2 linked regions of the Mytilus edulis genome follow. The protein of the gene in region 2 binds, or shares a complex with, the protein of the main gene of each other region. Links are inferred from orthologs where the notes say so. Each region holds a gene or a part of one and is shown on either strand. Other genes may lie near its edges.

Region 1 (11,290 bases), on a different chromosome or scaffold from region 2:
CATGTACATGTAGTCTGTAGAATCTGTTTCTCTAATTATTTTTAGGTGTCATACCACCAATTACTCCCTCAAATTTAGAACGTATGTGAAAGTAGGCCTACTCGGACAAAAAATAGTGCATTTGATGTCATTGTTCACCTAAACTAACCAAAAAATTTGCAGAAATAAAACTTTGGTTGAAAGAGAAATATATCAAGACCATTTTGAGCCAAATTTTATCTGTCTAGGAGTTTGCATTTAAAATTGAGGATTAATACACTCCATGGTATACTAATTTAAGATTTTCAGAAAACCAGGGGTTATTTTTAGTGGTACCTCCTTTCGGAAGCTCTCTTCTTTCTTATATGATTTAGAATGTATACTGAAAATTGGCATGCAGAAAGGTGACACCTGTACAATTCAGGATATACCTAGTTTCTATGAAGTTAAACTTAAGGTAAAATATTTAGAAAGCTGTGAAAATTGCAAAATTTGGTTGAACAGATAGGGACTTTTAATTGGTGGTATGACACCTTTAAGCGAAATGCGGTGATACATCAAATTCAGAAAACAATTGATTTTTTTTGTCTTAACTGATATTTTGAAATAATACTAGGCACATTTCAATCTTTTTGGGGGCAAAATGTCACATATTGCATATTTAGAGCCTAAAACTTGAGTTTGTGCTATTTTTAGCTTTTCTCACCCTGACAATATGCTTTAATATAAAAAAATGTCCTAAATTGTTATAAATGCACAGAAAGTTGTATCTGTGGTGTTAAACATTAAAACATAGGTTATTTACTACCCCCAAAAAATTTTGTTATGCAGATTTAATGAAATTATTTGATTTTTACCCCTTATTTCATTGCGTCATACTATTTACTTGGAAGATAGCATAGCCTAATGTAAACACTGCAGAAACTCACAAAAATACCATTTATTATTCCAAATGAAATTTTTATATCTTAAATTTTATTAACTGATGTAAATAAAAACAGTTTAATGACCATGACTGCACTTTTGATCAATTTGTAGTACTTTACTGACACCAGATGAAAAAAAGGGGGGTCAATATTCCATGACACTTCAATACCTTGGATTTTTTACTAAATTCATTGCGAAAACTGTTGAAAGTCTTTAAAGTAGTAGAACAAACAAGGAAAAATAAGCAAAAACTGATCTTGATATTGAAAGTTTATGTTCCTGTAGCCCAAAATGAAATTTTCAAGTATTTTCTATCAAAGTCATACATTACAGTCAGTTTAAATTGAGCTGTGAAATTTTTAATATAAGTTGCATTATGCTCAGAAAGGCTGTTTTTAACTTCAAATTGACTAAGGATTAAGAATAAAGCAAAACAAAAGATTTCTAATCTACTTTTTTGTCTCTTTAGGTGTCATACCACCAATTACTCCCTCAAATTTAGAACGTATGTGAAAGTAGGCCTACTCGGACAAAAAATAGTGCATTTGATGTCATTGTTCACCTAAACTAACCAAAAAATTTGCAGAAATAAAACTTTGGTTGAAAGAGAAATATATCAAGACCATTTTGAGCCAAATTTTATCTGTCTAGGAGTTTGCATTTAAAATTGAGGATTAATACACTCCATGGTATACTAATTTAAGATTTTCAGAAAACCAGGGGTTATTTTTAGTGGTACCTCCTTTCGGAAGCTCTCTTCTTTCTTATATGATTTAGAATGTATACTGAAAATTGGCATGCAGAAAGGTGACACCTGTACAATTCAGGATATACCTAGTTTCTATGAAGTTAAACTTAAGGTAAAATATTTAGAAAGCTGTGAAAATTGCAAAATTTGGTTGAACAGATAGGGACTTTTAATTGGTGGTATGACACCTTTAAGACAATATGCAGACACTCAATCCTGCTTTTCAAAGATCTACAAAAAATTTATTTCTATGTGATTTCAACATGCATTGTTGTTTCTTCTAAGACATCACAATAGGAAATTTGTAGATCAAAGAAAATTTGAGACCAAAATATGTAAATAGATATAATCATTAAACTGGTTAAAAAAAGGATGAATCAGATAAGAATTATAGAAACATATGTTTATATACATGTACATTGTACATTTGTATGTATATATAAAAATAAGATGTGGTATGAATGTCAATGAGAAAATATCCACAAGAGACCAAATGGCACAGAAATTAACAGCAATACAATGTAGGTCACTGTGTGGCCTTATAAGACAACGATGAGCAAAGCCCATTCCCATTTGTCAGCTTTACAATTTGTTAAATGGCCTGCAATGACAAATGTAAAGCTGTTCAAATGTGAAACTGTCCAAATATAAGAAAATAAAGGGTGGCAGATAGATGAAACTTAATAAATGAAGAGATAAATGAAAAATTAAGACCCTCAGTCAGCTCCAGAAGCAACAAAGCAAAATTAATGCATTGGTTTTGGTCCGGTAAATATCCACTTTATAATATGGGACAAGCTCTGATGTCCCACGGCTGCACATTGTCTGGCAAAACAACCGTAGGATGTCAGAGTATGCATGAATAGTTAAGAAAAGTAATCATGTGCTTACTCACATCGGGGGTCTCATTGGGGGGTTCTAATCCCAGATACCCCTTACTGTTTTGTCAGATTCCTTTATCACTCTTGCGCTATGTATGTAAGCAATTCTCATTTTTTTGTGATTTCCAATGTCCTGCAAGAATTCATTTCCCGTTATTACGGCAAAATAATTTGACTTTCACATGTCATGCTTACAAAAAATCCGCAATCCTGCTTCATGCTAAAAATGCTTAGACCCCAATGAGACCCACCACATCATGCACATATTTCATAAAATTTAAAACTCTTTACATTTAATAATATTCATATCCTTATTTACTATTTGATATGTTTCCCGACCAGTTATATTATGGTTGAATCCATGACAAATCGCCCCACTGGCAAATCGCCCCACACCTAATCGCCCCACTTTTTAACCAACTCGCCCCACTTTAAAAAAAAAACGCCCCACTTGTGAAATGTGTTAAATCCCGTTAATATTACTCCTGCCAACTCGCCCCACTTAATGGAAAACGGTAAAATCTAGATAAATATATTTATATTAACCAGGATGAATTTAGTAATGCCAACTCGCCCCACTTATGGAAAAAGATGTTATCCCGTTGTATATGGGTTAAATCCTGTTAATATATATGTTACAGTAAATAGGTGAAATTAGGAATTACATGTAATTACTAAAATTTAGGAATTACATGTAATTCCCGATGCACTTAGTAAATACAAGTAATTCCTAAAACTGCCCAGTAATTACCAGTAATTACTGAATTAAATTGAATTTTTACACCTATTTACTAACTGTTAAAACAATGTTGTAATATGGTCCACTGATCAAAAGTTATGGTAATACTAATTAGAAAATCATTGAGTATTCAGCTATCAAAATTTTAGGGTTTTGCAGAACCCAGTGTCTCGCCTACTTTTGCTGTGAGTCGCAGGCCCAACAAAAAAGGAAAAAAAATATTTTGTATTTTCTTCTAGATACTATCTTTTGACTAGTTCTGTAAGAATCTTCTATCAAAATTTGTTAAAATTTCAGGATGGTTTATGAAATCTAATCTTTAACTGCAGAGTGTATGTTATGTTAACTGGAAAAAAATAGTCCGTTTAAATAAGAAATATACCAAAAAGTATAGTTTTTTTTACAAACTTTATTTCTAGATATTATCTTATGATCATAAACAAGCGTCTATCCAATTTTGACAGAAATCCAGGATATTTTGAGAAGTTATTAAATTTTTTAAAAGTTAACCACAGTGTGAATGTAATGTTAACTGGCATAAAAACTAAGTCCCTTTATAAGTAAAATACGGAATTTTTTTTTTACAAAATTTACTTCTGGAAATGTATCTTTTGATCATAAACAACTGAAGCTTCTGTTCAAGTTTGGTAGAAATCCAGGATAATTTGAGAAACTTATCAAAATTTAAAAAATATAACCACAGAGCGAATATTTGTGGACGCAGCTGGCGACGGAATTGTTAGGTTGGTTCGCTATGTCTCGCTTTTGCGACAAAAAAAAACAGAGGCTCGATGAAAAGGAAAAGAAATGTCAACATTGAAAGTAAAACAAAAGGGATGGACCATTTAGTTTACTTTTTCAATCCACAAAAAGATCATTCTTATACAGGAAGAAACGATGATAAAATTTTGTTGGAGATATATAGCTTAAGTTTTGAGGTCTTGAAGAACTCATAAAAACACGGAAATATGAAAATGTGACTCTTTACGCCATCAATTTGTATAAATTTGTTTGTGAAGAATGTCAGCTTCATCGCAAATGTCTGACAAAAGAAGTCGTAGTTAAACCTGTTTTGTAAAAGGAATTTAACTCATGTTATTGGCCGAGTTGATATGCAGAGTATGCCTGATGAAGATTTTAATATAACAAAATTATGAGATTTTAAGAATTATAAAGATCATTTAACCAAGTTTGCCATAATCTAATGTCTATCTTAACAATTAAATAGCTGGCTAAGTTGCCTATAAATTTCTCAAAAATGTTTTTCTCAATTTTGGATTGATATCATTGTCTTGCATGTTCAAAATGATTTTTAGGGAGTTTCAAAACTTATAAAACAACCATTTTCCAGTTTCAATTTACAAACACTGAAGAGTATGCACTTTTTATGTGCCTTATCATCCTTGATCCTTAAGTAAGCCCTAAAAATCCCTACCCCTTACTTTCTTATTTGACATCTTGAATTATGTCTTTAATTTTTAAAGAGAAATATCAAGTTAGTAAATAGCTGTAAAAATGACAAAAAAAATCAGTAAATACCTGTAATCACTGAAACAACAAGTAAATACATGTAATTACTAAATTGACTAGTGATTACAGGTATTTACTGAAATGTTTAGTAATTACGTGTAATTCCTAATTTCACCTATTTACTGTAACATATATATATGTTATTCCTTTTTTTTTAAATAGCAGTAAGAAGTGATTATTTTTTTTTAGTATTTTGATAACGTGAATGTCAACTCGCTCCACTTGTGAAAAATAGAAAAATCCTGATGAATTGATTTATGCCAACTAGCCCCACTTATGAAAAGTACAAGTATGAATAGAGTTAAAGGCTTCCAACTAGCACCACTTACGAATAAAATAATTAAACTGTAATGTCATGAATGTGTGTTGGCTTTCCAATTGGTCCCACTTATGAGAACGTTTGAAATGCTTCTTTTTTTTTGTACTTTCTTCTGCATAGTTGAAATAAAACAGAAATAAGGTTAGGAACATCATTTTCTGATTGCTCGTTAGTGTTGAATTATTCTTAATTCAGAGACAAAAGTAACCAATCCAGTAATTGCTATGATAACAAAATTGCTGTTAATTGAAATCCTTTGATATGTTTAATATAACAGGTTTCTTTTCAATTGGCAAATAACTAAGATTACAAGAATACAGTTATTCTCCAACAATACGAAAATTATATTTAGAATTATAATTCCAGTATATCAATAATAGAAATAACATAAATTTTCAGTTTGTTTGTATTTTGTGTAGATTAGTTTTCATTAAAGTGGGGCTAGTTGGCAGACATGAAAATTATATATTAATCTAGATATTACCGTTTTCTATTAAGTGGGGCGAGTTGGCAGGAGTAATATTAACAGGATTTAACACATTTCACATGTGGGGCGATTTTTAAAAATGTGGGGCGATTTGGTGAATCAGTTTGGGGCGTTTTTTTTTAAAGTGGGGCGAGTTGGTGAAGAAGTGGGGCGATTAGGGGTGGGGCGATTTGCCAGTGGGGCGATTTGTCCTGCTTCCTTATGGTTCATGTATGTTTAACTCATTCAGGTACATGTAGCTGGTCCTAACCTTTTCTTGAGACAAAAACTTCTTTTGTGGCTTGCAAGTGCACCTTTACAGACAATGGCAGTTACTAGCTAGCATTGCAGAATGTCAACTCAATGTTGTAAGTTTTATCTTCATCAGAGATATACAATTTTGACATTTTAGACACGTTACACGTGCTGTTCTGTGTATAAGATTTGTGGACAGGTATACTGACCTTTTTGCAATTCTCTCAGCCATACTTGGGTGATGGTTTTTGAATGCTTTCTGTGGTGAATCAGCCATAATGATAACGTCTGAATACTCTGCTGTGTGTTGTTCAGTTCGCTTAATTTCTTTACGAAGTTGCTATCTGTAAATGAAGACATGTTTATGCTGTTTGTTTCTGAGGACCACAGCTGTCCCGAAACCGGAAGTAAACAAGATGTGTCAAATAAATTGCTGTAGGGTATGTTTGATATTTTTATAAAAAAAAACATATTATATGCCTAGCAATGTCAATCTTTAAGTATTTTATTGTTCAAAACGAAGAGCTTGTTCTTTCATTAAGAAGTATTTGTGAAGATCTCGGCATAAAACTGATTTCAAAGATTTTTTTGTAACCTGCCCACCCCTAAAAATTTCAATGGGACAGGACGGTTTTATTTCCGGTTTATGATGTGAGGATTTTTTGAAAGACACAATCGAGAAAAAATGCCTTACGCTAATCAACCTACTGTAACATTAACAGAACTAACAGACGAGAATCTTAAATTTACACTTGAAGATACTGATTTGAGGTTACATAAACACTAAGTTAACATATCTGCTATGCCTCTAACATTAAGATTCTGATACAGGTGCTGCATGTGGTGAAAATATAAAGTGATTTTAAAAATTATGAAATAAACATAACTGTTTTTTTTCTCTTTAAACTAGATACTTCGAATTCTTATTACTGCTGCAACACCGATTTGTAAATGGTTTAATGACATTGCCAAAGAAAAAATGATCAAATAATCATAAGACCTTATTTGATTATATATATATTGCACAATCATGTTTTAGAAGCAGTAAAAACAGTAAATATTTAGGCGTAACTATAAGCCATGATCTTGATTGGGGAACACATATAAACAATATTACCTGTAAGGCAAATAAAACGTAAGATTTTCTTCGTAGGAACTTGAAAAACTGAACACATAAGGTTAAAAACCCTATGTACACATCACTTGTACGCCCAGTCGTCGAATACTCTTCCCTTGTCTGGGATCCGTACTAAAACAACACATCACTCAGGTTGAGCAGGTACAGCGTAAGGCAGCCAGGTTTGTCTTCAATGATTATAAAGACAGATCACCTGGAGCAGTTTCAAATTTAATTAAATCATTGGAATGGGAATTCCGAAAATTTAGAAATAAAAAGGAAAAAAGCTAGATTAACTATGCTATTTAAAATAAATTGGGGGGTTAGTTGAAGTTCCTAAGGACAATTTTACAATATCTGATAGACGTACTAGGGGGAAACATAAATTTAGGCAAATATCAACAAATAAAGATTTCTATAAATTCTCATTTTATCCTCGCACTATTTCGGACTGGAACTCACTACCTGAAGCAATAGGTATGTCTGACACCCTGGAATCCTTCAAAAGTGGCATATCCACTCTAACATTTGAAGGATCCACAACAACTTATTGAACTACAAAGCCACTGTACATAATGTATATATGTTATTGTTAACGATTTTTCTTTGTCATATTATTTTTAAATTAAGTCCATATGTACATAGCACACAAGTTCCGGGAAGTTTTACACTCCTACCTAGGTGTCTACTCACGTATTCGGAAGAAGAAGAAGACATAACTGAACTTCTTCTCTACAAAGCAGGGGCTGCTCTGGCTCACAAAAAATTGGAGCCAGACAAATTGATAGCTTCTATACTTTGTCGCCAGTTCTTGAAAACTTGGAGCCAACTTTATGTTAAAAATCTTAAAAAACAAAGAATATATACCGAAATGTAAAAATCATGATCAAGTTAAGGCATGAAAGAAAAAAATTATAATGGCCTTTCAAGACTCATACATTGTAATTATTTGGACTAGATCAAGCTCTATTTACACCTATTAGTGCCAGAGAATTATTTAAATAGTGCATATTTAAAATACATATAGACTTTCAGTTTGATATCTGTATTCTTTATGGGATAGAGGTTTAAATCTTATAATAACTCAATAATTTGTTTATCCATTCACTTGAGGGATTGTCTGATACTAAATGGTGGTATACGTTATCATTATAGACATTATGTTTCAGTACATCTGTTTTAGTACATAACATTAATTTAATAAAATGTGTTTTTTTATGTTTTAAATTGTAATGTTATTCTTCTGGTTCAGGTAAGGGTTCAACGGTTGCATTTGTTTGCACATGTCTTAATCAAGTCAGGAACTGTTGTTCAGTAGTTGTCCTTTTGTTGATGTGGTTCATAAGTGTTTCTTGTAATAATAAGTTTTTTTTAGAGTAAATTGCTATACTATTTTATGGAATAGCACTAGCATGACTGGATTGGTTTGTAACCATCACAGTTGCAGTGTAGGGCACTATATACATGTAGGTGTTCAATCGTATTTTAGATTGAGCTGGTATTATGGTATTTGTAATGTTTAGATGTTGTTTTCTCTGGATTTTTAATTGGACTTTTGTTTATCTTTTACATGGTTTTGTCTAGTTTTCTTAGACCTTTAATTTATTTTTAATTCCCCCTATCCCTCTAATGGTATCAACTATTGATAAACTAGAACTTTAAAAAGCTTAGGTACAAATGTATATGAATAGATTCAAATCTTCTGTCAATCAATGATGGACAAGTATACAGTGATATTAATGGTGTATAGTGTTTTGCTTTACAAAAAAAAGAGAAATTGTCATCATGTAGGTCATGGTATTTTGGTATTCTTATATATTGTTAATTTTAATGTGATCAAAGGATTTGTTCAATGTTATCAGGTAACTTCATTCTAACATTGAAGTATTTTGATTAATTAGATATACATGTAAAAATGTATGTATGAGTATTAAAAACAAATGGTATTTGGAAAAAAATACACAGTAACAGACATTTGAAATTTACATTGGTTGAAATTTCTGAAAAAAATAATAGTTCAATATTACTTTTAAAAACATAATTCTTTACTGATTGTGACGAGGACGAAAATATTTTGTTTTTTTCATGATGAAAAATTATGTTTATAGTTTCTATACATTTTGTACCTCCGCCTTGAAGATTGAAGGAATGAACTTCTATAGCTATACATTTAATACTGATTATATTTCATTTTATTTGTTTTACAGTGTTGCAAATGCTGTTAGAAGAGTATGCATAGCTGAAGTTCCAACCATGGGTAAATATGATAGGAAATTATATAACATTTATAAGTATGGTATTTTATATTGAAAAAACATGCACGTAGATTGAAGTTTTATTTTTCACTAAAACTACAAAGAAAACAGCCTAACTCCTTAGTGAACTTTCCTTAATGATATGGAAAAAAACAGGTAACAGTAACAATTTTTTTGAATGTCATTTTTCAGTCTGTTGCAAGTCAGAGAGAGGGTTGAAATATGTATAACCCTGTCACACAGTTTGTCTTAAGTAATTGAACGGACAATTTATTACACAAGTCTACATTCTCAATAAGCATTTTGATAAGGTAAATATGTAAAACATAATGTTTTTACAATATTAGTCCTTTTATTTAAATCTCCCTATGTTTGTGATGTTTATGTTATGAATTTCAGCAATAGATTGGGTACAGATGGAATCCAATTCTACAGTGTTATTTGATGAGTTTCTGGCCCACAGAATAGGTTTAATACCACTGACCAGTGATGAAATAGTGGACAGGATGCAGTATTCCAGAGTAAGATTATAATCAACAGAAAAGGATTTTGTGGGTGTACTCTATAACATTTCAGACTTTATAAAGTATGAGATACTGAGCTTTTTTAATCAACCATTTTTAAAAAGGGCACACACAATTGGCTAAAGGTCTTATACAGATGGTGTTATTATTTTAAAACAAGTGTTGCAATCGTCAGCAGATAAAAATGATAAAAAATAGACTACTTCATGTTTGAAGGCAACAGCAGTTTGAATAAAAAATCTGTTTTAAATAATTTCAAGCATGCATATGTGATTACTTATCAAAGTAGAGTAAAGTATTAAAAGTTGAATATGTACTTTATATATCATCTAAGAGTACTCACAATGTGTTCACTTTATATAGATATAGGAAGATGTGGTGTGAGTGCCAATGAGACAACTCTCCATCCAAATAAAAATTTATAAAAGTAAACCATTATAGGTCAATGTACGGCCTTCAACTCACTCCGAACAGCCGAAATTTATGTTCACTTTGTTATAACTCTTGTGAATTTTCACAATGATCGAATGGTTATGATTGTATGAAATAAGGAGATGTGGTATGATTGCCAAAGAGTTACCTTTAGAGCTTTAATAAAATGGATGTTGGCAACTGTAGGCCATGGTATAGCCTTCAACAATGTGAAATGTGTATACTGTTTGTTTATTCATTAGATATTATCTGATTGTTCTAACTCTTTTAATTATCACCAATTATCCTGTTTTAATGGGATTCACTATTCACCAGCTGTGGTGGAATTTGAACAAATCATCTTGTGTGTATAATTACTGTATTTCTCGACTTTTAATGAAAACATATCATTCTATTTGTTAACAACCCATACAATCACATGCATATAATCTTTGAGTTGCTATGATAGCTACTTAAAGATTATATATATATGTGATATTTTATATGTTGTTCATTTTTGGTACCGAAAACTCAGAGGGGAAAGTGAATATGGTTTTATTTTCTGAGGAAGTTGATGGGTTTTTGGAAAGATTGGAACTTGTTCTAAATCTTTCTTAAGGCACTGGCCTCCTTAACAACACGACTGGTTAGCTACTAAATGTATTCACTGCACTGAAATATAGCTCATATAGTTCTCATGTATGTGCACAGAATACACATATAATTGTGAAAAAATGGGTATATTTTTGGAGCGGTTCATTTAAGAATGTATGTCATTAGGGTGTGTTCATGTGCAGGCTTTTTAATTAGTTTGCATAATTAATTGAGTATTGATACAATACTAGTATGATTGACAACTGTCATTATCACCAAACAATCAGAGACAAGGTGGACCTTTAATTACTTTGCCCACCTCCTTAACTGCGAATTAAATTGACCTCATTACTAATCAACATTGTTGGTGAAATTAACTAGGAAAATTTTAGATTTGCAATTTTTTTAGACCCATGTTATTTAATTTGAGCTCATTTTATATTCATACTGGAAAAGCACTTTTCCTTCTAAAGACCGGCTGTTAATGTAATTTTCAGCATTAGTGCTTCAATATTATTAATGTTCTTTTTTGTCCCCACCATACC
Region 2 (11,153 bases):
TTACCTTATTACAGAAGGAAAATGGACAGAGTTAAACCAAAATGCCTGATGACTCTTTGTTCAGAAAGAACCAAAAAAAAAACATTTTGTAAAGGTATGAGAAAAAGAATGAGAAAAATTTAAAGAAGAATAATGCATCTTCCCTGCAAATTAAGGTCTTACTTTGATCTTGTGATTTTGAGCTTTCCAACTTCTCCACCATCTGCATGACTCCACTTTTCTGACAAATACTTTGGTACCTAAAATAGTTAAAAAAATTACCATTTAGATCATATCCTATATAAAATTGAGAAAGGAAATGGTGAATAAGTCAAAGCGACAACCACCCGACCATAGAGCAAACAACAGCCGAAGGCAACCAATGGGTCTTCAATGTAGCGAGAATTCCCGCACCCGTAGGTGTCCTTCAGCTGGCCCCTAAAATATGCATAATAGTACAGTGATAATGGACGTCATACTAAACTCCGAATTATACACAAGAAACTAAAAATTAAAATCATACAAGATTATATATATATATTTCATATTTTATGCTATCATGTATGCATTTTACCAGATTTCTTATCGTGCTTAGTTAACCTTTTTCATATGCTTTTAACTTGAATACCTAACTTTTCATGCTTATAACTTGAATACCTAACTTTTCATGCTTATTACCTGCTTATTATTTAATACTACCATGCTAAAAGTGCATTATTTTGTGTTATGTAACTTATTGCATGTATTGTATAAGAAAATTGTTGTGTTGTATTTCGGTTAAAAGATCAATAGAGCTCATGTTATGTTTTCTGTTAGTCTACTGTGCTGACTTTCAAAAAAGCTTATTTATTTATTTATTTGTCATTCTGTACTATTTTGACTGACTTCACTACAAATGTATAACAGAGGTACTAGTTCGATGATGCTGAGAAGTGTTTAGGCTCAGCTGGTGTTTGATGTTTTATAGCAAACAAGTCATAAAAAATTATGATGATTTCTGATTTCTAATTGCTTAACTGCTCATTTAAAAAAAATATTTGCCACCAGTAGTTAAGCAACCAACAAACAATAAATCATTTAAACAAGAAACTGTTGAGAGAAATTGAGCAAGTATTGACACAACATTTAAGCTTAAAACAGCTCTGATTTTGGGTTGTGAATTTGTGATTGAATATTTGATACAGCATAGGTTTGTGACACATAACATGCATAATGAATGTGGTAAAAAAAACTGAAAAAATGAAAATGAACATTTACCTATTAATATTATGGTCCAATATCCAAAATCTAAGTACATTGACATGATTGTTAGAAACAGCATATCAAAGAACCCCAAAATTTAATTTTTGATGAAATACTTGAATGAATTAAACTATTTCTGTTCAAAGGGAAATAACTCAAACACAATAATATATACATGAACCAGTAACGTAAACCTAAAATTAGATATGATTTAATCACTAACAAAATAGTTTTCTAAAATTCAAAAAATTATTATTTTTTGTTCAATGGGCAATAACTCAATCACATAATAAGTCACATATCTGAATTTGAAAAAATTTCATCAAAGCATTTTCATGTGAATGAATGGACACTGTTTGGCCCCACCTGTCCAACATACATCCCTCATTCTAAAATCGAAAATATCTTTTAAATTAATATTAATTTTAAAAAAGTGTCACCTGTATTGGTGGTTGTACATGAACATGTATGTCCACTTTTATTGGACCACACATCAAGTTAATTGAACCTTTATTGTTATTTGTTTGAGAGCAGCCAAAAAGTAGTTGTAAAACATTTGGACGCAGATTCCTTACAGAAATAATACACCTTATTGCTATTTAGAAATCTGTCCCACTTGACCCGAGAATCTGTCCAAATGAACTTTTGACATCATCCAACAATTACATGTACTTTCCATGCATTGCGGCTTCAGATACTTTGTAAAATTTTCTATTATGACGTCAAAATTTTATGAGAACTTTGTGATATCCAGTAACTGCTGAAAAATAGTGATTAGGTGATTGCTGGCAAACACTAAAATAATAAATTACATTTCACTAGATAAATTATGTCCTGACTCAGTTTATCCTTATACACCTTATTGCTAGCCTATCTGTCCGCCATTACTGGACATCACATAAGTTCCTGTAAAATTTTAACATCATAATAACAATATTTTGACGCCACAGTGGAAAAGTGATTGTTGTAAGATGTCAAAAGTTCAAGTGGGACAGACTCCTCTTCTTCTTCTTCTTTTCGAAGTAAGGAACCAAATTCATATTGAATGTGTATGGTCCCGCGAAAACTTAGCGCAGTACCTGGCAAGGCAGCAAGTCTTCTCAAAGTTATTTACATTTAAAACGTTCGCCAATTTACAATTAAAATTATATACACTCTATGCTGTCCACTTCCTTCCAGAGCCTGCTTTCAGAGCATCTCTGAATCCCTCTATCGAGTCAGCCGATGTTGTTTTAGCTGGAAGTTGATTCCAATCCCTGATGCAGTGATGGTCTTTGGGAAGAATGACTGTCCATAGGTGTCAGTTTTTGTTCTTTCCTGGTAAAAGCGGCCTATACCTCTGGTCCGACTGTCATTGGTTATTAGATATTGTTGTCTATCTATATCGATATTATTAAAGCCTGTGTTGAATTTTAAATAGCATATTTCCTGGGTCAGGCTGGACAGATTTCCAAATACAAACACATATGTAGCGATATTCAGATAAGGTGTATACATGTGCCTGCCATGATCCATTGCAATTAATTTTTTTCTTCTTCTTCTTTAAGGTCAACAAGGCTTCAATACTGAAGAATACATGTTGTTGCGCATGCGTGATTGACAAAAATTTATACAAAATTCATAAAAATAATTTATAACAATTGGAGTGTTTGTATATACAGATTTTGATTAAAAATATATGTACATGTTTTGTTTGAATTTGTTTATTTGAAGCTAGAGAGAACAGCTGGTGTTAGCGGATCTCAACAGTGGTGGTTTCAATTATAGTTTGTGATAGTAAATTCCATGGATCTCCTGTAGTTGGTGATCGCAATACTGGTATACAAGTATTGTGCACAATACTGGTATAAAAAATTTGTACCAGTATTGTATTCCAGTATTGTACCAATATTGTGTTTTTTTAAATAAACAATACATATATATATATATATAGGTAATTAATCTTTTATTGATTTCACAATAATCCTCTATAATCTTTTTGTGTTCATTTAATCTCCCTTTGAACTTCAAAATCTAATTTTGCTTAAAATTAATTTTTCATTATACACCTTAAAGTATAGTCAACAATTATACAACTACAATACTGGTATATCAGTAATGTACCAGTATTGTTGTTTTAAAAAAAAAAGTTACAATACTGGTACAAAATTTTTATACCAGTATTGTAGACAATAAATATGCCTTGTTGTATGATCATTTGATTTGCACTGTAGTCTACAGGAAATTTTACAACAGTAGCAGGTGGGGTATCGGGATCGTTCGCCCTAGGTTCGTTCGCACTGAGTTTGTTCGCCCTGATAGTCCGTTCGCCCTGGGTTTGTTCGTCCTAAATTCATTATTGATATATATATGTTACATCAATGAACGAAAAAATTTCGAAAGCAAATTTACAGATCTAACATTGTTGGGTTGATGATTAGACGAGTTGTATATACATTATGTACACAGCCATGTATCACCATCATTGCTGGTGATCCGATGGATACATCTGTTGTAGAGTTGTCACTGACTCAGACGTACTTATAAATATAATTATTTTCTGTGACTGTATCTTGCATTAATTTGTAGGATCCTTTACTATAGATAATTGAGCTGATCTGTAACAATAACATCTCCATGCCTTATATATCATGTACTGTAGTACGCCGCTAGATTAAAACTGACGAGGAAAGGTAACACACAGCCACCGAAAGCTTTATATTTTGTGAAGCCCAGGTGGTCGTGTGGTCTAGCGGGACGGCTGCAGTGCCGGCGATTTGGTGTCACGAGATTTAGACAAAATAACACGATACATCATAAATATTCGGCGAAATTGAAGACTGACTTCAACACATTCAATTATATACACACAACGCAACACTATACTAAAAAATAAAATCAGGGCGAACGGACTCGGGGCGAACAGGTATTAGGGCGAACAGAAACTAGGGCGAACCAGAATCAGGGCGGACGGACCCGGATTCAGCAGGTGGTACAACAAAGTAAACAGGTAAACAATAAAAATATTTTCTCAGAAGGGACTACATGTATCATGACTATGCTTTCACTGCTGTGTGTCACAAATAAGTGATGTAACAAGTGAGTTTACCTTAACCAACCATACACCTCTTCCTGCAGCATTAAGATCTACATCTCTTGGGGTATGAGCCTTCTCAAACTCTGGGGGCATAGACATTACAGCTGAAAGTTTAGTTCTTTAACGTGAAGGTACAAAAATTACATGTTGTGAATAAAAGCTAAATTGTACGGAAATTTCGCCTCAGAAATTTCGACATCAAATCTGTCTTTCATTGCAGTTTTTTAGTGGGGAATTATAAATATCTGACATGATGAAAAATATAACCAGTGTTTTGAAAAACAAGATTCAACCAAAATTATCGTGATCACAATTTGTCTTATTAATCTTCCTTTTACTCACTCCACAATTTTTTTTAGCGGGAAATAAACTTTCATTGCAGAACAGCTGAGAATCGATTGCTCATTCACCAGTTCACATCAAGATAATAATATTTTAAAGACTAAAGTAAACAAAGCTGCTCAACCTAATACAATAACCAAGAAGTATTAGAATAGAATAATTTTTTTATATTCATATATTTTTATATATTTTTTTTTATATTCATATATTGCATACATCTATGATACACCTCTGCGTTAAGTTCTGTCAAATTTGTTTATTACTTAGTTTATGGGGGTCTCATTGAGGGAAGGGGGGGTTCTGATCCTGCTTACTGTTTTGTCAGATTCCCGTATCCCGCTTACAATATCATGACTATGCTTCTGCTTCTGCCTGATAATGACCACAATCAACGAGCTGATTATTATGTCATGACTGAGGTGCGCATGCAGACCCCCCCCCCCCCCCAATTTCAATAAATTAGTTCAGCTTTGTCAGTGAGGCTTTAAAGGCCTCGACTGACGGTGCTGATGCTACCCCAGGAGGGAGAGCGTTCCAATCCCTGATTGTTCTTGGGAAAAATGAGTATTTTCTGTAATCACTTCTGCTTGCTGGAATTTGGAAACTTTTGTCGTGCATGTTCCTCGACAGTCGTGTTGGTTGCATAAGACGACCTTCCTTAATTACAGCCACTTTGTCGTGTTCTATTTTATAGAGCATAGTTAGCCTAGCATCTTTTCGCCTTTTTTCCAGAGATGGCCATTCCAGGTGCTCAATCATTTTGCTGACACTTGAGTGATTATGGTGTTTGTTGGAAACGTATCTTGCTGCTCTTCTCTGGACCATTTCTAAACGATCTATTTCGGTTTTAAAGTATGGGTCCCATACTGGACTTGCATACTCTATTATTGGTCTTGCAAGGCTTTTGTATGCATTTTCTTTTACTGAGGTTGCTCCTATATTTAGATTTCTCTTTAGGAAGCCTATAGTCCTGTTGGCTTTGTTGCATATATTATTGATATGATCATTCCACTTCAGTTCGGATGTGAAGGTGCAACCAAGGTATTTAGCACTTTTGACAGGTTCCAGTTTGTGACCATGCAATGTGTAAGATGTTGGAATGGTGTTGTTTTTGCGGCTGATGGTAAGAACGTTGCATTTGTCCGGATGGAAGGACATTTTCCATTTGGCTTCCCATGTTCCTAGTTTGTCGAGGTCGCTTTGAAGGTCGTTTGAATCTTTGTCGGATGAGATGGTAAGATATGCTATTGTATCATCAGCAAATAGGCGGACAGTGGATTTGATCCCATCTGGCATGTCGTTGATGTAGAACAGGAATAATGCAGGACCAAGGACAGAGCCTTGGGGAACTCCAGATTCTACATCAATATGTGATGAGCACTCTCCATCCACAACCACTGCTTGCGTTCGGTGTGATAGGAAGCTGGCAATCCATCTATTGGTTTTACCACTGATACCGTAATGTTCTAGTTTGTGTACTAGGAGACTGTGACCGACTTTATCAAATGCCTTTGAGAAATCCATTATAAGAACATCTGTCTGTTTACCTGCACTCATATTTTTAGTGATGTCATCCACGAATTCGATTAGATGAACGTAAGCAATTCTCCTTTTCTTGTAATTTCCTGTGTCCTGCTATAGCCTATACAACATTTCCCGTTTTCACGGCACAATAATTTGACTTTAACGTATCATGCTGACAAAAAATCAGTAATCCCACATCACGCTTAGATCCCAATGAGACCCACCTTTATGTCTTCAAAGCACAAAATAATTATTGATGTTCTGTTCAAATCGCAAAAACGTTGCACAGAAAAAAATCTGGGAAAAACGAAGCACTCAAAATAAAATCTTTTAAATATTAAGGAAAAAAGTAATTTACTATTATGAGGGAGGGGCCTGATGGGTTATTTTCGTTCTTTGTGATCGGCACATTTTCGCATGATCCATTTTTCTACAGATTTTTTTTTTTATATTTTTGTGATCGTGATCATGGAAATTTATTTTCTGTGAATCATGATTGACAGAAAAAATCAACCTGTGAATTATCATTGATACCTTTATCTAAAGTTGTAACACCACTAATTCGGGCCCGGCCAGAAAGCACATACCAGAATGCTGTTGCTGATGTTGCACACTTCAAATGATGCACTGCCTTTTTACAGTTAATGTCAGAACATTGAAAGTGAAGTTTAATATCTTTTTTTAAATGTCGATCATTGGGATGGCTAACTGATTACCATAATTGAAGCTTTGTGTCCAAGACTTGATAATTAGCACATATTTTCCACAGTCGCCTGAAGATTTCAAGCAAAATATGGTTGAAATATTTCCCCCATTTTTTATTATTATGAAATCTTCAGGCGACTGTGGCACATCGTACATGTACATGTAAATATTTATTGAATTCATAGTTTATTTATGATTATGTACTTATACGAATAATAAAGTTTTATTTTGATTCGGTTTACATATACATGTATAACAATACAAACATAAGCTCTTAACCCTTTTGCCGATGAGTCCCGTTTTACCGGGATCGGAATACCTCTTTTATATTTCCTGCTAAAAACAGTGCAAACATGAGTTATCTTTCTTTGTTGGATACCCTAATGAAAGTGTAAACATGGCGCTTCTGTTTGTTGAAAACCATGTCAAAATCCAAGGAAATTTACGGAATTAACAAGAATTTGAAATGAGGGAACATTTTTTTTGAAAGAATATGGAAGAATTGAAGCCAAATGTGTATACTTTTTTTTACATAAAATGTCGTTTCATGTACAAAACACTTGGAATGGACATCGTTCAGTGTAAGGAATTTGTACAGCCTCATTAATATTTTATGAAGAAAAAATTATCAAAACATGAACAAAACTGTGAACATGGTGTTAGTGAATGAAATAAAGACACAAATAACTATAGACAAGTTTTTATTGACATTTATTATGAAGATCTCCCACTTGAGTAATAGTAGCCAGGGAAGCCATCGTCTCAGAGTAGCTTCTTTCTGGGCAGCTATCGGTGAAAGGGTTAAGAGCTTTTCACCGAAGATAAAATAACATTAAAACACAGACAAGATATATAACAGCACAGGCATATGGAAATACATGCAAAGCACTACTAAAATACATATCTAAACTTGTAATAATCATGACACTAATGTATATATGCAATATGTATGTCATTTTAGATTTCTACAATGCAAGCATTCTTGACTGGAAAATCTGGTTTAACCAAGACAAAAGATAAACCAACTTCAAAAGAACCAACAAGAGAAAAAAGTAAACATGTTCCATGGGTGGAGAAGTAGTAAGTATTGACTGTTGTATTAGTTTCTCAACTCATTCATAATCTTACTAAAAAGTAAACATGTTCCATGGGTGGAGAAGTAGTAAGTATTGACTGTTGTATTAGTTTCTCAACTCATTCATAATCTTACTAATAAGTAAACATGTTCCATGGGTGGAGAAGTAGTAAGTATTGACTATTGTATTAGTTTCTCAACTCATTCATAATCTTACTAATAAGTAAACATGTTCCATGGATGGAGAAGTAGTAAATATTGACTGTTGTATTAGTTTCTCAACTCATTTATAATCTTACTAAAAAGTAAACATGTTCATAATCTTACTAATAAGTAAACATGTTCCATGGGTGGAGAAGTAGTAAGTATTGACTGTTGTATTAGTTTCTCGATTCATTCATAATCTTACTAAAAAGTAAACATGTTCCATGGGTGGAGAAGTAGTAAGTATTGACTGTTGTATTAGTTTCTCAACTCATTCATAATCTTACTAATAAGTAAACATGTTCCATGGATGGAGAAGTAGTAAGTATTGACTGTTGTATTAGTTTCTCAACTCATTTATAATCTTACTAAAAAGTAAACATGTTCATAATCTTACTAATAAGTAAACATGTTCCATGGGTGGAGAAGTAGTAAGTATTGACTATTGTATTAGTTTCTCAACTCATTCATAATCTTACTAATAAGTAAACATGTTCCATGGATGGAGAAGTAGTAAGTATTGACTATTGTATTAGTTTCTCAACTCATTCATAATCTTACTAATAAGTAAACATGTTCCATGGATGGAGAAGTAGTAAGTATTGACTGTTGTATTAGTTTCTCAACTCATTTATAATCTTACTAAAAAGTAAACATGTTCCATGGGTGGAGAAGTAGTAAGTATTGACTATTGTATTAGTTTCTCAACTCATTCATAATCTTACTAATAAGTAAACATGTTCCATGGGTGGAGAAGTAGTAAGTATTGACTGTTGTATTAGTTTCTCAACTCATTTATAATCTTACTAATAAGTAGACATGTTCCATGGATGGAGAAGTAGTAAGTATCGACTGTTGTATTAGTTTCTCAACTCATTCATAATCTTACTAATAAGTAAACATGTTCCATGGATGGAGAAGTAGTAAGTATTGACCGTTGTATTAGTTTCTCAACTCATTTATAATCTTACTAAAAAGTAAACATGTTCATAATCTTACTAATAAATAAACATGTTCCATGGATGGAGAAGTAGTAAGTATTGACTATTGTATTAGTTTCTCAACTCATTCATAATCTTACTAATAAGTAAACATGTTCCATGGGTGGAGAAGTAGTAAGTATTGACTATTGTATTAGTTTCTCAACTCATTCATAATCTTACTAATAAGTAAACATGTTCCATGGATGGAGAAGTAGTAAGTATTGACCGTTGTATTAGTTTCTCAACTCATTTATAATCTTACTAAAAAGTAAACATGTTCATAATCTTACTAATAAATAAACATGTTCCATGGATGGAGAAGTAGTAAGTATTGACTATTGTATTAGTTTCTCAACTCATTCATAATCTTACTAATAAGTAAACATGTTCCATGGGTGGAGAAGTAGTAAGTATTGACTATTGTATTAGTTTCTCAACTCATTTATAATCTTACTAATAAGTAAACATGTTCCATGGGTGGAGAAGTAGTAAGTATTGACTGTTGTATTATTTCTCAACTCATTTATAATCTTACTAATAAGTAAACATGTTCATAATCTTACTAATAAGTAAACATGTTCCATGGATAGAGAAGTAGTAAGTATTGACTATTGTATTATTTCTCAACTCATTCATAATCTTACTAATAAGTAAACATGTTCCATGGGTGGAGAAGTAGTAAGTATTGACTGTTGTATTAGTTTCTCAACTCATTCATAATCTTACTAATAAGTAAACATGTTCCATGGGTGGAGAAGTAGTAAGTATTGACTGTTGTATTAGTTTCTCAACTCATTCATAATCTTACTAATAAGTAAACATGTTCCATGGATGGAGAAGTAGTAAGTATTGACTATTGTATTATTTCTCAACTCATTCATAATCTTACTAATAAGTAAACATGTTCCATGGATGGAGAAGTAGTAAGTATTGACTATTGTATTATTTCTCAACTCATTCATAATCTTACTAATAAGTAAACATGTTCCATGGATGGAGAAGTAGTAAGTATTGACTGTTGTATTAGTTTCTCAACTCATTCATAATCTTACTAATAAGTAAACATGTTCCATGGATGGAGAAGTAGTAAGTATTGACTGTTGTATTAGTTTCTCAACTCATTTATAATCTTACTAAAAAGTAAACATGTTCCATGGGTGGAGAAGTAGTAAGTATTGACTATTGTATTAGTTTCTCAACTCATTCATAATCTTACTTATAAGTAAACATGTTCCATGGGTGGAGAAGTAGTAAGTATTGACTATTGTATTAGTTTCTCAACTCATTCATAATCTTACTAATAAGTAAACATGTTCCATGGATGGAGAAGTAGTAAGTATTGACTGTTGTATTAGTTTCTCAACTCATTTATAATCTTACTAAAAAGTAAACATGTTCATAATCTTACTAAAAAGTAAACATGTTCCATGGGTGGAGAAGTAGTAAGTATTGACTATTGTATTAGTTTCTCAACTCATTTATAATCTTACTAATAAGTAAACATGTTCCATGGATGGAGAAGTAGTAAGTATTGACTATTGTATTAGTTTCTCAACTCATTCATAATCTTACTAATAAGTAAACATGTTCCATGGATGGAGAAGTAGTAAATATTGACTGTTGTATTAGTTTCTCAACTCATTTATAATCTTACTAATAAGTAAACATGTTCCATGGATGGAGAAGTAGTAAGTATTGACTATTGTATTAGTTTCTCAACTCATTCATAATCTTACTAATAAGTAAACATGTTCCATGGGTGGAGAAGTAGTAAGTATTGACTATTGTATTAGTTTCTCAACTCATTTATAATCTTACTAATAAGTAAACATGTTCCATGGGTGGAGAAGTAGTAAGTATTGACTATTGTATTAGTTTCTCAACTCATTTATAATCTTACTAATAAGTAAACATGTTCCATGGGTGGAGAAGTAGTAAGTATTGACTATTGTATTAGTTTCTCAACTCATTTATAATCTTACTAAAAAGTAAACATGTTCCATGGGTGGAGAAGTAGTAAGTA

What was found.
Region 1: general transcription factor IIF subunit 2-like (region 2) and DNA-directed RNA polymerase II subunit RPB3-like share a complex: the UniProt entries of both Homo sapiens proteins name them as parts of the TBP-based Pol II pre-initiation complex. The link is inferred for Mytilus edulis from reciprocal best matches to the Homo sapiens genes GTF2F2 and POLR2C.

What each region holds. Positions count from the first base shown.
Region 1 is NC_092348.1:90,690,094-90,701,383, reverse strand, and holds the start of DNA-directed RNA polymerase II subunit RPB3-like, read left to right. Parts: upstream 1-6,462; 5' UTR 6,463-6,529; coding exon 6,530-6,615; intron 6,616-9,168; coding exon 9,169-9,218; intron 9,219-9,615; coding exon 9,616-9,737; intron 9,738-11,290. Other genes in the region: regulation of nuclear pre-mRNA domain-containing protein 1B-like, read right to left, coding at 6,054-6,204. UniProt on the Homo sapiens protein: Core component of RNA polymerase II (Pol II), a DNA-dependent RNA polymerase which synthesizes mRNA precursors and many functional non-coding RNAs using the four ribonucleoside triphosphates as substrates.
Region 2 is NC_092346.1:81,242,799-81,253,951, forward strand, and holds the start of general transcription factor IIF subunit 2-like, read right to left. Parts: upstream 4,465-11,153; 5' UTR 4,397-4,464; coding exon 4,310-4,396; intron 240-4,309; coding exon 163-239; intron 1-162. Other genes in the region: replication factor C subunit 4-like, read left to right, coding at 7,839-7,948. UniProt on the Homo sapiens protein: TFIIF is a general transcription initiation factor that binds to RNA polymerase II and helps to recruit it to the initiation complex in collaboration with TFIIB.